3 linked regions of the Arabidopsis thaliana genome follow. The protein of the gene in region 1 purifies or fractionates together with the protein of each later gene. This does not show direct contact. Each region holds a gene or a part of one and is shown on either strand. Other genes may lie near its edges.

What was found.
Region 2: the proteins of AT1G16080 (region 1) and EMB2799 fractionate together in Arabidopsis thaliana (co-fractionation; one large-scale study listed by BioGRID). This does not show direct contact.
Region 3: the proteins of AT1G16080 (region 1) and AT1G15140 fractionate together in Arabidopsis thaliana (co-fractionation; one large-scale study listed by BioGRID). This does not show direct contact.

The regions. Positions count from the first base shown.
Region 1 is NC_003070.9:5,512,236-5,516,700, reverse strand, and holds AT1G16080 (nuclear protein), read right to left. Parts: upstream 2,440-4,465; 5' UTR 2,308-2,439; coding exon 1,959-2,307; intron 1,793-1,958; coding exon 1,575-1,792; intron 1,486-1,574; coding exon 1,357-1,485; intron 1,283-1,356; coding exon 1,151-1,282; intron 1,054-1,150; coding exon 940-1,053; 3' UTR 674-939; downstream 1-673. Other genes in the region: WAKL7 (wall associated kinase-like 7), read right to left, coding at 1-442; TLP8 (tubby like protein 8), read left to right, coding at 2,922-3,343, 3,426-3,540, 3,621-3,797, 3,890-3,945, 4,038-4,134, 4,225-4,314, 4,385-4,465.
Region 2 is NC_003071.7:16,309,183-16,314,838, reverse strand, and holds EMB2799 (NAD(P)-binding Rossmann-fold superfamily protein), read left to right. Parts: upstream 1-2,216; 5' UTR 2,217-2,363; coding exon 2,364-2,577; intron 2,578-2,805; coding exon 2,806-2,918; intron 2,919-3,200; coding exon 3,201-3,373; intron 3,374-3,613; coding exon 3,614-3,707; intron 3,708-4,000; coding exon 4,001-4,111; intron 4,112-4,218; coding exon 4,219-4,308; intron 4,309-4,433; coding exon 4,434-4,519; intron 4,520-4,602; coding exon 4,603-4,667; intron 4,668-4,748; coding exon 4,749-4,858; 3' UTR 4,859-5,041; downstream 5,042-5,656. Other genes in the region: APC7 (tetratricopeptide repeat (TPR)-containing protein), read left to right, coding at 135-208, 306-356, 434-634, 711-755, 838-931, 1,060-1,205, 1,507-1,736, 1,831-1,891 and 1 more.
Region 3 is NC_003070.9:5,209,681-5,214,598, reverse strand, and holds AT1G15140 (FAD/NAD(P)-binding oxidoreductase), read left to right. Parts: upstream 1-2,249; 5' UTR 2,250-2,461; coding exon 2,462-3,009; intron 3,010-3,527; coding exon 3,528-3,627; intron 3,628-3,789; coding exon 3,790-3,885; coding exon of another isoform or gene 3,886-3,957; exon of another isoform or gene 3,958-3,969; coding exon 3,970-4,050; exon of another isoform or gene 4,051-4,133; coding exon 4,134-4,196; 3' UTR 4,197-4,418; downstream 4,419-4,918. Other genes in the region: AT1G15150 (MATE efflux family protein), read right to left, coding at 37-242, 372-610, 702-758, 838-924, 1,008-1,552, 1,668-1,925; AT1G15130 (Endosomal targeting BRO1-like domain-containing protein), read left to right, coding at 4,751-4,918.

The sequences.
Region 1 (4,465 bases):
TCGAGGCATTGTTGTTACAGCCAACTGCTACTAAAGTATTACGGCCGGTGAGGAAGAATGGGCTCCCGGTCACATTCAAAGCCAAGCTGATTTCTTCCATATTGGAACAGCCTAAAGAAGTTACCGGATTCTTGATTCGGGTTAGCCCAAAGACATCGCTTGAGTCGTCCGGGAGAGAGATATTCACCAGTTCTCTGTTGATACTCTTAAGAACTGGCAGAGGGTTTCCTGAGGTTCGGTTACAGATAACTTCATACCACTCATTGTTGTTGAGATAGCAATCTTTACCAATTCCAAAGGGATAAGGAATCGCTATTCCCCCGCAATGGCTTTGACAAGAACTGAAGACAGTGAGATCTTGAGCAGATGCTGCAATCAAACCATGGATCAGCAGAACCAGAAGAGAGAGCAAGTTATATATGGAAAACTTCTCTCTGCTCATTATGCTCTGTTTTTTTTTCTTTGTAGAAAACTGAGTTATGTTATGTGAAGCTAAAGCTAAAGCTAATATAGAATTATGTGTTATATAGTAACTAACCGAAGAAACCACAGTTGCCTACTTGGACCACCTTGCCTGCAAAGGCTGAAAATTCAAACAAGCGTGGACGATCCTGCCTCTTACTTTGTCAACTATTGATGATTCCAAAGAGTCTACATAGGTATCTGTCATAATTTGTTTATTATTGAAGATTCTAGTCTTCCCTAATTGATGGGAGTCTAGAAGCAGAAAAGTTTTGATTCTTGAAAATGCACAAGTTTACACATATAAAAGTCTGGACATTTTACAAAGCGTGAACTGATTCTCTTTCTTTATTAAAAAATTACATCTTTTTTTCACTTCTCAGGCGTGTACACAGTTGACACTAGTTTCAGATCATCTACTTAAAATATGTAAGAATGATACTTAATCCAGATACTCACAATTTAGAAAGACTGGCTCTATATCACTTTAAGCTCTTTCAGCCATTCGGTATGGAGGGGACACGGATCCGGTTGCCCTTCCGCAATCGCCTTCTCTGAGAGTGAATAAAACCAACCATTCCTCCATTTAAACTGCAATAATCAGAAAACTAGTTGTGAAACAGATACTGATGCACATGCACATGCATTGAAAGAGAGAGATCAAGGATGATAAAAGTGATATATGTACTTCTTTAACAGCAGTTGGGAAATGAGAAACAGCTCGTGAATAAGCACATAGTCTTTCCACCATGTTCTCTTCAAAGGTTAGTCCTTTTTCCGCGGCAGCAGCTGCTGCAAGTTCTTGGATGAGTCTCGACACCTGAATGTATAAGTAATTAGCACTAAACAACGATTTTGAATGCTAAAACGAAACGAGGAATGGAATTTCGGTACTTCATCTCTGTATTCTTTCTCCACCGTGCCAACACTTGCACCTGGATGACGAGCTCCAACAAGCATAAATGCACAAATCCAAATGAGTTTCTCCAACATTTGCTTCTGAAAAGCTTCTTTGTCAAGTACCTAACCACAGAAACACCGACAAAAGAACACATTTAGTATATCCATGCAGCTTCTGCGTTATCATAAAACAAAGATTTGCTTCTTGTAACCTTGCAAGAGAGGCCACCAGATTGCAATCTTGCAGCTATCTCTGAAGCCCATTTTCCATAAGCAGCAGTAAGACCTTCTGGGTTAGTGTCAGTCTTTCCATCCACGGGAGGCTCGCCGAGCTTTGACACAGCAAAATAGGCCAACACTTGGTCTGTATCACCCAAACCTTTGCTCTCAAACCACGGCTCCATCATTCCATTTTGGAAGAAGACCAAATCTGATTAATTACACACAACGTTTTTACTATACCAAGTCATAAACTGAAGAAACAATCAAAATTTGATAATCTGATCATTTGAATTGTGCTCTGCGATGATCAAACGCCCTAAAACATCTAACAATTTGGCTCACTAATGATTCTTAGGGCCTATGAAAGTTTCTACCTTTCCATCTAGACTGAGGAGTAGCTTCAAGAACAGCATCGAGATCATCATTTCTTGTACAAACCAAAATGGGTCCTTCAAAATCAACCGGAACTGCTTCTCCTCTCTTCACCAACAAATCCTCGCCATTACCCATTTCCTGTAACGCCCTTCCGACTCTTCCGCCACCCACAATCACAGCAGGCGCTAGTTTTTTAGCGGTGGCAGCTGACGCGGCGGCCATAGCCATTGGAACGGCGAATCTCGCTCTTGAAACTGAGGGTTTAAGAGATTCAGAGCGTCGGAGGAAAGAGAAACGAGCTGAAGCGGAGCAGGAAACAGCAAACAGAGTACTACTGGCTTTAGCCATGGTGATAATAATGGGCTTCGACGATGTTGTGGCCTCTCATGGTTTTGGTTGGACTAATTTGAACAGTATGGTTTAACAGCCACTCGATGGTTTGAGGCTCTGGCTTATCGGTTTTGGATGACTCACGAAGATAAAACGGCATGACGTTGATAAATATAAAAAACGGCAGGTTGTTGATACTTTAAGTGTTTGAGTGTTTGAAACACAGTTCCCGCTAAACCTCAATCCAATCATCAACCTTTCAGTTTCCCGACAAAGGAAAACGACAAAATATTAATCAAAATCCCACTATCGTGTATTGACCGTTGGGTCCGTAGAAAGTAGAAAAAGGGCAAAAACCAAACGCAGACATCTAAAAAACCTTTGTGTTTAAGACAAGAAAAGAAAAGTCCATCTGTGTCTTTGGTTCTGTGCTCGCACAATCCCCAATGGCTATTCAAATTCAAATGGAAACACTGTGGGACTTTATAAAAACGTTACTTTCAACTCAGTACCATTGTCAAACACCTGTTTCTAGATTCATGTCTTCAAAATCTATAAAGATATAAACTTAGCTCCCAGAAAGTTCTAAACTTGATACTTGAAAGCAATCCATCCAGAAAGGGAAAAAAAACATGGCTGGTTCGAGAAAAGTGAATGATTTGTTGGAGGAAAATAAGGGAAATGTGGACACAATTACAGGGTCTTTATCCACTCAAAAGGGAGAGGATAAGGAGAATGTGTCGCCGGAGAAAGTCTCTACCTCTGTGGAAACTCGGAAACTAGATCGAGCTTTGAAGTCTCAATCGATGAAGGGTAACTCTGGGTTTCCAACGGAAGTTACAAATTTCAAATCTTTCTCAACTGGTGGTCGAACAGCTCTGAAGCAGTCATCACTGCAAGCGTGTATGCAGAAGAACAGTGAGGTTGATAAGAGTAGTTTCGGAATGAAAACTTGGACTAGTGTTGATTCAGAGCATTCAAGTTCGTTGAAAGTGTGGGAGTTTTCGGATTCTGAAGCTGCCCCTGCTTCCTCTTGGTCTACTTTGCCCAACAGGTAAAAACACGGCTATTACCAAGATTCTTGTGCTTTCATTGTTCTAAACATGTCTGAAACTATGTATATACTTGTTAAACAGGGCTTTGTTGTGCAAGACACTACCTTTGGATGTGGGAAGATGCACTTGTCTGATTGTGAAAGAACAATCACCTGAAGGCTTGAGCCACGGATCTGTATATTCACTTTATACACATGTAAGTATATAGATATTCGATTTACCATGATGCTGAGTGAGAATTGAGATGTAGTGATATCAATGTTTCTGATATCTCAGGAAGGTCGGGGGCGTAAAGACCGGAAGTTAGCAGTTGCTTACCATAGCCGACGTAATGGGAAATCTATATTTAGGGTGGCACAGAATGTTAAGGGATTGCTGTGCAGTTCGGATGAAAGTTATGTCGGTTCCATGACGGCTAATCTCTTGGGTTCCAAGTACTACATATGGGACAAGGTCAGAAATTCAAGCTCAATGTAACGGTGTTGGTTCTGCTTATAGGTTGGAAATCGAGTATGAATGTTTCTGGTCTTTTGATTCCATTGCAGGGAGTTCGAGTTGGTTCTGTAGGTAAAATGGTGAAGCCGCTTCTTTCGGTTGTAATGTAAGCGTTGAGGATTTTGAATGCCGTGTTTTTTGATGAATTTGCCTCTGCCTTAGTTTTGGGTTTGCTTATGCATCTGTTGGCTTCTGCAGATTCACACCCACCATAACAACTTGGACAGGGAGCTACAGAAGAATGAGAACTTTGCTACCAAAGCAGCAGCCAATGCAGAAAAACAACAATAAGCAGGTAAATGCCTAATCTTAAACTTCTCTCCATCAATCTTGCATTCCGAAAACATAAAACTGTTAATACACGTATGTATGTATCTCCTTATAGGTTCAACAAGCTAGTAAACTACCGCTTGATTGGCTTGAGAATAAGGAAAAAATTCAGAAGCTATGCTCAAGGATACCACATTACAACAAAGTAAGTCTCACCGGGCATCATTGTTGATTTTGTAAAGCATGAAATTCATTGTGTCTTCCCCTTTCTTTAGATCTCCAAGCAGCATGAGTTAGACTTCAGAGACAGAGGAAGAACAGGACTGAGAATACAGAGCTCGGTGAAGAACTTTCAG
Region 2 (5,656 bases), on another chromosome or scaffold:
CAATGGATGAAATAAGGCATTTAGTTCTTTTTTTTTAACCTTGTAGATTTCATTTCTTGCATTTTATTTGTGGGAAATTCTGCAATCTGATGCTTGCTTTACTGGATATGGTGTAATATTTTTTTGTTACTCAGGGGCGCTGGAACTCTTTGCTGAACTCTTACAACGATTTCCAAATAATGTACACTTGTTGACTGAGACAGCAAAGGTTAGGGATGACATCGACTACGATGCAAACAGAATTTCACCTGAATTTTTCATTTTATCATGACTGACGCTGATTGACATTTATTTCATTTGTATAGGTTGAAGCCATTATTGGGAAAAATGATGAGGCCATAATGAGATTTGAGAAGGTAGTCACCACATGGATATTTTTTTCTCAATTCTCAACTTCTTTAATTCATGCATAATCATCTAAAAGCTTTTATAGGTTCGGTCAATTGATCCTTACACACTAACCAGTATGGATGAGTATGCGATGCTGCTTCAGATTAAGTGTGATTATTCCAGGCTAAACAAGCTCGTCCACGATTTATTAAGCGTTGATCATACCAGAGCAGAAGTATTTGTTGCTTTGTCTGTACTATGGGAAAGGAAAGATGCAAGGACGGCATTATCTTATGCTGAGAAGGTTAGCTTTTTTCTGACACTGAATTTTTGTGCCAAAATCTTTGTGTGATAGCTCATGACATACACTATGCAATCAGAGTATCAGGGTAGACGAGAGGCACATACCCGGCTACATAATGAAGGTAAGCTAGTTCAACGAGGAGTTTATTTATTTTTAGTAAGTTTGCATATATATATATATCCACTAATTTGTTAAGACGTCAGGGAAATCTACTTTTACAAGCAAAACGACCAGAAGCTGCAGCGATCGCCTTCAGGGCTGCCCAGAATTTGAGGTCCGATCTTCGTTCATATCAAGGTCTGGTTCACGAGGGAAAAAGATCTGATATACACTTCCACTGTTGTACTGTTTTGGTGGTATAAACCTTTAACAATCATGAAAAGGTTGGAGTGTGTAATTAACTTGCGCTATTGAGGTCATTTCAGGCTTAGTCCATTCTTATCTTGCATTTGGTAAAACCAAAGAAGCATTGTATACCGCCAGGGAAGCAATGAATGCAATGCCTCAATCCGCGAAGGCTCTGAAATTAGTTGGTGATGTTCATGCGTTTACATCAAGTGGCAGGGAAAAGGTACAAACATTCAGCTTTGTTATGCTTCTATGGTGTCAATTTTCATCATATCAATATTCTATCCAGATTTTTTACATCTTAATCAGAAGCGGTGAAAGCTTTAGGGAGTTAGTTGCATATAATACTAAATATTGAAACTGGGAAAGTTCCTTAAACTTAACTGTTCAAATCTCAATTTTGATAAGCATAGTGTATACCAAATCTGAGAAACTATTCAGAGCTTGTGAGTATCTTCTTGTGATCTTTACATTATGTATAAAAATTTATGGTGTAACAGTAGAATGATATGGTTTTATAACAGGCAAAAAAGTTTTACGAGTCAGGTCTGAGGCTGGAACCTGGGTACCTTGGAGCTGTGTTAGCCCTAGCTGAGCTTCATCTAATGGAAGGGAGGAATGGAGATGCTGTATCACTACTTGAACGATATCTCAAAGATTATGCAGATGATTCTCTCCACGTCAAGCTAGCTCAAGTGTTTGCTGCAACGAATATGCTACAAGATTCTTTATCACACTTTCAAGCTGCATTAAGGTTTATGAAATTCTAAGCCAGTAGTGCTTATAGTTCTTGTTGCTCCTATGCGAAACAATAACGATATAACAGAGTGTAAATAATGTAAACGCAGAATAAATCCACAGAATGAGGCAGCCAAAAAGGGACTAGATCGCTTGGAGAAACAAATGAAGGTTGGGAAGAATCAAATCGAACCATTTTATTATGAAGCTCGAACAAGGATGATGTTTAGTGTATTCACAAAATTGGGGTGTTTGTTGCAGGGAATAGACCCAGATGCAACAGATGAGAATGACGAGAACGATGTTGAAGATGTTGATGGAGACACCGAAGAAGCTGAGCTCATGTGAAGAGTAGAGAGACAGAAGAGTGTGTAAACTGTAAAACTATCGAATCCTTAACATTAATATTAATAGCAAATGTCATTCCTTTTGTTTCCTATAAACAAACTTAGAATATGAAAAGAAACGAAAAAAAAGACCAATATTCTACAACATTGGACGTCGTGACGTGTAAATACGCCATTGGTTAAAACACACCAAGAGAACCCATTACCAAAGTCTCACGGAGAATCCCATCTCTTTCCCCACGCCAACTCAATCTTTTTCGTCGTCAAAAGCCAAAGCTTTTTGCTTTTTTGTCTTAATGGGTTTCATCTCTTGCATCTCATTTCCGACGATCAATTCAAGAATTCTATCGACTCACCACTTTTCCAAGCACTCGACTTCAGCGTCTTCTTCATATTCACTTAAGTTTGCTTTGAGACGTCAGGAGGATAAACCCAAAGTCTCGTTTTTTCTTCCATTAACGTCTTCGTTAATGGCGACCCCTATTCAAGCCTCTTCTTCCTCCACCATTGGTATCTTCACTCTCTACTTCTTCAATTCGACTGCTTTAAGGATTAGTGAACTTTGACTTTTAAGATAATCCTATGTTAATCTTTTATGCTTAGTGAGGTAATTAGAGCTTTCGAATGATTTACAATTTCTGATTACATTGATGAGGAAGCTAAGAATATGGTAAATGAAGGTTTAGTGATCTGCCTCTCCAAAGTAGTGACCTTTTTAATATGTTGTTTTGTATGAAGGTGAGACCAGTGATGGCTTGAAGGTCCAGTCTCATGTTTCAATTGGAGCAAACGATCTGCTGATTGTTGGACCGGGTGTTCTTGGACGCTTAGTTGCAGAACAGTGGAGACAGGTATAATTTCTGTGTTGTATATCCCCTACAGGGGACTTAGCTCAATTTGATACTTACTCATATTCTTCTTATAGAACATCCGATAGATATGGTGTTTCTGTACTACGAAAACAAAAACGTTTATGATGTCCTGCAAATCCCTGTTTTAATGTGTCTTGAGTGTTTATCAATATGGTGTGTGTGTGGATAGTGACTAGTACTTTTTCTTCACAACGTATATATAGTAAGAGTCATGTTTTTCACAATATGGAAGTTAGAGTTAGAGCTTTATATGTGGAGCAGGAACATCCAGAGTCTCAAATCTTTGGGCAGACAGTAACAACAAATCATCATGGTGAGTTGGAGAATTTGGGTATCAAACCATCTCTTAAAGGAACCGAATATGGGGGAAAGTTCTCCTATGTGATCTTTTGTGCTCCACCATCACAAAGCGCTGATTATGCTGGTGAAGTCAGGTGATTAATTACAAAAAATCTTATGTTTTAATAACTAGAAAGTCAATTTATGCATTATGATCTGTTAGTGAATGCCAGAAATGTCGACTATTGTGCGCTTGACTTTATTAGCTGGAGAAGAAAAATGAAGCTAAACGTCAATTTGTGCTTTTTAGTTCATCCTATGTGACAACAGTAAAAACATTTGCCTTCATTCAACTGTCTAATATGTGTGTATGCTTGTGTTTACAATCGGATCAGGAATGCAGCATCAAACTGGAATGGCGAAGGATCATTCTTATTCACATCTAGTTCTGCACCTTATGATTGCTTTGATAACGGAGAATGCAACGAGGTTTGTCTCAGCACCTGAATACCTATTTTCTTTCAGTTTTCTCCATCCTAAAATTCCTAGTTTTAGACTTTAACACCACATTTAGTATTATTCTATATCAAAGTTGTTTAACACAATTACTTGTTGAGGTAATTTGGGGAAAAGAGTCTCTCACATTTAAAATCTATGAAAATCAAGTATACAATCAATAAAAAAATTTGATATTTGAGACCACAATGCAAATTCTTGTTCATTGTGAATATATATATGTGCTATTCAATAAGAATTTCTAAGTTCGTTACCCTTCACTGCAGGATTCTCCAGTAGTGCCACTGGGAAAGAGTCCAAGAACTGATGTGCTTTTGAAAGCTGAAAAAGTAGTGTTGGAATGTGGAGGGACTGTCCTTAGACTAGCAGGGCTTTACATATCCTTTTGGATTTCGATACTGAAACTGAATGAGCAAGTATTGAAAGACTTTTTTCTTGGTCTGTAGAAGATTTGAGCATTATGTTTCTCCTGAACTTTTTATACACAGAAACTAGAGGTGCACATACTTACTGGTTGAGTAAGGAGACAATTGATGCTCGTCCTGATCATATTCTAAATCTCATACACTATGAGGTATATTTGTGATTTTGTTCACTCTCATAACTAATTAGTTGATCTGCAGATTGAACTCATTTTCTAGAATGGCAGTGTACTATACATTAGTCTCTTATCAGGTTCTCTAATGTGTTTTTGAACAGGATGCAGCATCGCTGGCAGTTGCAATCATGAAGAAGAAAGCCGGTGCTCGGATTTTCTTGGGTTGTGACAACCATCCTTTGTCAAGGTAATGCTGCTTTCGTTCTAACTTTGAGATTACTTTCTAACTTTTGATGAGACATCAAATGTTTGACCCCTCACTCTTCTCAGGCAAGAGGTGATGGACCTGATGGCTCAAAGCGGAAAATTTGATAAGAAGTTCAAAGGTTTTACAAGTGAGTTTCTTCAGACATTGACATGTAGTTGTCTTGAAAAACCTTAAGCTTCATGGAGTCTGACAACTTTGGCTTTTGTAGGCACCAGTGGTCCTTTAGGGAAGAAGCTGAACAACTCTAAGACACGAGCGGAGATAGGATGGGAGCCGAAGTATCCAAGCTTTGCCCAATTTTTTGGAGTATCGACATAATATTTTTACTTGGATTGATTAAGAATGTCTCTAGCGCTGAAGAATCCAATAATGTGAAGCATTATTTATGTTTGGTACAAACAAACTCATGTATCCTCTTGAGTGATCAAACAGCTGAAATTTTCAGAATTCTTCATAAAGCTCCATGGTTCATATATATAAATCATATTTTGTTAATTTACTTAATACAGTTAGCAAATGGGTTGAGAAGTAAATAATCAACGCAAACTTAATCAGTTTGAATAAAATATATAAACGTGGTTAGATCATAATAATAAAGCATCTTATAAATCATCTAATTAGATGGATTTTAAAGGTTTCTGTCAAGATGTAAAAGCTTGTGTCTTGTTCATTACCAAATTAAGATTCTAACAAAGAAATAGGCCAAACATACGAGGCCTCAGGTATGAGCCTAACAAACACATCCATGCCTCCATCTCACCCACATAATTTGATATGAAGGTTTCATTATACCTTTATTAATAAAAATACTTAATTCATTAACATGTTCACAAATCATCTCATTGGTGATATGTGCAAGCAAATAATCTTATCAGTTATCACATTTGGTTTCTTAACACCAGTTATGGAAGGTTGTTATAAGTTACACAATGTCTTATAATTAGGGTGATGGCCCATCACTGATGGGTGATGTTTTATCTATATATAAAAAAATCTTATATTAATTTGGCTATATACAAACATTGAACCAGATTCAGAGGGTTGCTAGGCGTATGATATGTCTGAAGTGATTAATTCGACTTTAAGAAATTTGTAGCCTAATGCAAAAATACTTTG
Region 3 (4,918 bases), 300 kb from region 1:
AACATGTCATGAAAGACAAAAAGCAAAGGAAAGGACCTGGGTTTTCCAGTTTGTGCAGCCTGTGACAAGAGCCAGCAGAAGAGTCTGCAGAACTGCACCGGCTAGTATTCCAATCCAAAGGCCAACACCTTTCAGATGAACCCAGAAGGCTAAAGATGCTGCAATGGGTATCCCCCAGAGATAGAAAGCTCCGAAGTTTATGTAAGCCCCTATATGCTGCCACCCGCATCCGCTTGCAACACCTTCCAACCATCAAACGAGGGTTAGAAGAATGGCAGAAAAGAGTACAACATGAACAGGCATGACAACTTGGAGCTGTATATTCGACACTAGCTTATGTTTGAGAAACGAAATGGGAAAAAATCTCGAACCTGAGAGAACCCCTTGTAAACTGTCCAGTATGATAGAAATAGAGACCAACGGAGCCATCTTTGCAACATATTCGATGGTTTTCTTGTCACTGCTGAAAACATGGCCGAAAACATGCCTGCCGGCTAATAGAGACATACTCACCATCAATGCATCCATTACTGCAAGAGACATTGCCGCATAGACCACAATATGTGCTGCTCGAGAGTTTCCAGCTCCTAACTCATTTGAGATTCTTGTGCTGCACAATGTACTTGCTTATGAACATGAAACCATAACAGAAAGTATACTTCAGCATTTATGTACTGGATAGTGGTGACAAAAGCTCTAACCTTGCTGCAGCCGCGATCGCTAGTGGTATTGAATAAGTTATTGAAAGTGTTTCGAAACTGTCCGTAGTATGAATAACATTATGATTTTGCAAATTCAAGATTGTGACAGGAAATGGAAAGATGCAAGGATGAGTACCAGATAGAGAGCACAGAAGTCTCCAGCTGTGGGTTGGGTAACAGACCAGAAAGTAATATTATGAGTTCATATGACCACCACTCCAGGCTGCAACCCATATATAAAAGAGTTTCTAACAAAAAATGTGGAGGCAATGAGAAGTGAAAAAGGAACAGAGAAAAGTGATGTACCAAAGCATAGCCGCAGAAGGAAGAGCATATTTGATAAACTCTCTAACGCCCTCGAATATCTCCATGGTAAGCGGCGCGCGTGTCTCAGAACAGGCAGAGGAGTAGTACATGAAAGATCCAAGGAAAATGGCATAGAGCCAGTATGACAAGCTGAGAGCCAAGGCTCCTCCAATATGACCAAGCCCTGACTTATAAACCAAAAGCCAGCAGAGAGGAACGTGGATACAAAACACAACAGAAGAGGTGACGAGGAGAGGTGTGATCAAGCTCTGGTTTTTGAAGTAGCGAATGAGCGGCTGAAGAACGGCGTAAGCGAACAGTCCTGGGATGAGCCAAGCGGCATATCTACCAGCTTCGTGAGCAATAGCAGGGTCTTGGCCAAGGATCACAATAAGCTTTCCCATGTTGAACCATAGGAGAGAGAGAGGGAGACACACTAAAGTAAGACAGAACATAGCTGTGTAAGCCTGAACACCTAGTTTCCGATATAGCTTAGCTCCATAAGCTTGACCACTCAAAGTATCTAAGGCACATGACAATCCTATCTATCATCAAAAAGTAACAAGAAAGTGAGGAGAGGATGCAATTTCCATGGTTCTGGTAGCTAGTAACAGAGATAAGTGCGTCAATTTAGAGGAAAGAAGGAAAAGGAAAACAAACAATGAAGCTGAAGCCAGTGACGTTACAGAAGGAGACTGCGAAGGAAGCGCTAGCGAGGGAGAGTCTACCGAGGTGACCCACCATCACCATTGAGATTATCTGTATCATGAACTGAATGATAACCACGGCAGCCATAGGAGCCGCAAAGCAGATAAGCCTCTTGAGTTCTGCGGTGAAAGATCCGTCTTGCAGATCTCTCCATGTCACTTTCTCAATTCTGTCTACCGGATCATTGGTGGTTCTCTCCGCGTCTTGCATGGCTTGTGAGAGAGAGTTTGAAAGTTGAAACGGAAAGTGGTGAGTGATAATCGTGAAGTACTACTGTCTGCTTTTTGGTGCTTGGTTATGTGTAATTCCTTACCAAGGGAATCTATAGTGTAGTGCCACTTGGCAAAATTCCAAAACCATGAATGAAATATATACGTTAAATTTGGCTCAACGGTAGGGAGTGTTCATTGATAATGTACTCTTACGTTTTTTAATATGCATATTGCTTGTCACTTTTCTTCCACAATTCTGTCTTTTAATTACATGATTTGGTGTTTTTTCTTTGAAAGACGAGCTAGCAAAATTAAATGAAGAGGGAATGCAATTTTCGAAGTATCACAACAAGTGGTCGGAAAGTAGATAGAATGATATTTTGATCATCCACGTGGCAAAACATTGTAACGGAAGGAAATTAGGTGCATAGCAAAAAAAAATAACACAATCGTGCCACCGAACCAATCGGGCCGCCCTTTTCTACCGCCGGCTAAATTTGACGGTCACATATAGAGCCCCAAAAACTCTCCACCATGTCCACTCTTCCTTTCGCGCCTTCTGTCACCCATGCGCACTTTAGCCACTCCCTCTCCCCCATGTTTATCCTGCGCCATCTCCCTCTTACACGCCATCTCCGTTTATCCCGAAATAACCGCGTCGCTTCCGTTGTATCCGCCGCCGCCGTTCGCCAGGACGCTTCCCTCTGGACTCCAGCTCCTCTCTCTCTAATCGAATCAGCTGCAGAATCGCTTTTCCACATCTCAATCGACATTTCAAACGCTCCGGATCTCGTAGCTTCGTACACGAGACCCGGTCAGTATCTCCAGATCCGTGTTCCTGATGTTGAGAAGCCTTCTTTTATGGCAATCGCTTCTCCTCCTTCCTTGGCGTCTTCTCGTGGTGCTTTCGAATTCTTGGTCAAGAGCATCGCTGGTTCTACCGCGGAGATTCTCTGCGGGTTGAAGAAAGGAGAGACCGTTGAGCTTAGCTCTGTGATGGGTAATGGTTTCAATATCGATCTGATTGATCCTCCTGAGGAATATCCCACCGTTTTGATTTTCGCCACTGGATCTGGAATTAGGTGAGAGCTTTTTCCATTTTCTCTCCTACCTTGTTGGATTGCTGAAGTTGTCTTTTTTACTTCATGTATTCAATGATCCAAGTGTGGTCTAGTTTAAAGGTTTCAGTGCAGAGCATTAGCTAGATACAAAGCTTTCAAACTCAAGTATCTTGAATCTAGTTTAGTTACTCATTTTGCGGTGAATCCTCTGTGATGCCGGGTTCAATTGCTTTTTTGTGGACCTTTTTTGTGAACTCCAGTATGATTTCAATCTATCCAAAGGTGCCATGGACCAATTTTGTGGCTATTTTTTTACTGTGATGATGTTGTAATACTGAAATAGAGTTTCATGTATGAAAGGTCAATGTTTTTATGACTTTGGTGATCGATCAGATCTGTTGTTTATGCCAAGTAAAGGTGTTTCTTTCAATCATCTATTGTTCTAGGCCTGGTCAATCAAAAATGTTTAGTGATGGTGATGTGAATTAAGTAACTGTCTTCAATTTGGAATGTAATCTCACATGTTCTTATCTCTGCAGCCCCATCCGCTCACTAATCGAATCAGGATTTGGCGCTGATAGAAGATCTGACGTAAGACTCTATTACGGGGCTAGGAACCTGAATAGGATGGCTTACCAGGTTTGGTTCTTTCTCTCAGTTGTTTTGCAATTCATGATGTCAGTAGATATAAATGTGTGTGCTTGAATTATAAAAATCTTTTGATGATAAGCGTAAAGCCTATCTCTCGCTCTCATTTTGATCTACAGAAGAATCATCTTGGAAACGCTCTTGATTTTGTAGGAAAAGTTTAAAGAGTGGGAATCAGCGGGTGTCAAAGTTGTGCCGGTATTATCACAGCCAGATGATGGGTGGAAAGGGGAAACTGGATATGTGCAGGTGAGATTGAGAAACGTGCTCCTTAGTCAAGTCTGCTGTAACTCAATGTGGATCAAACTAATATATACATAATGTGTTGTATAGGCTGCTTTTGCAAGGGCTAAACAGCTATCAGCTCCCAAGGCCACGGGAGCGGTGCTGTGCGGACAGAAACAAATGGCTGAGGTATGCACTGTTTTTGTTTATGAGAACCTAAATGCTTTAGAAGATGTGTATCTTTATCATTGTTTCGATTTGTATTGTTGCAGGAGATAACTTCAATGCTTGTAGCTGATGGAGTCTCAAATGACAAGCTGCTCAAAAACTTTTGACAGATATAGTTCTTGTATTATCGTATAATTTTACTGTTTCTTCACATCATTATTCTTTTGATACGAAAGTCCTCTTCAAGGCCTCTCTAATTCATAAACACACAGAATTTTGTAGTCCCTTAAAAATTAATACTACTGTGTTGATTGTCACCACAACATTCTTTTTTGATTAGTGATCATGTTAATGTCCATGCTCTATATACTTTGCATATTTCTTCTACTTTCAATAGAAAATTTCTACATATACCAAGAAGATTTATACCAAAAAATATTGTGAATTAGACATGTTTCTAATTAGGAAAAGTTCCACAAAATAAATCACCATCGTTGCCACATTTAATTAACGCGGAAAAAAGCTTAAAAGCCATTGATCGACTGTATTAACCACTAAATTAGACTGCACGCCGTTTTCATAGAAGATCACAGGACTTGGTGTCGTTCTCACGATCCTTCACGATCATCTTCTCTTAGTCAATAAGGATCCATCAAGGAAACCAAAAATCGAAGAAAATTAGAAAAATCGGAAGAGCGATCGAAGAGGATTTTGAACCGCCATGGCTTCTTCTTCGCTCTCTAATCTGATGCTCGCCATTCATGAGAAGAAGACGAGCTCCGTTGATCTCTACCGTCCTCTCCGCAACTACGTTACTTTCACCTACTCTGAGCGCGAGGCTCAGCTTATAGACGACGATCTCGAGACCTTGAAGCAGCTCCGATCCGAT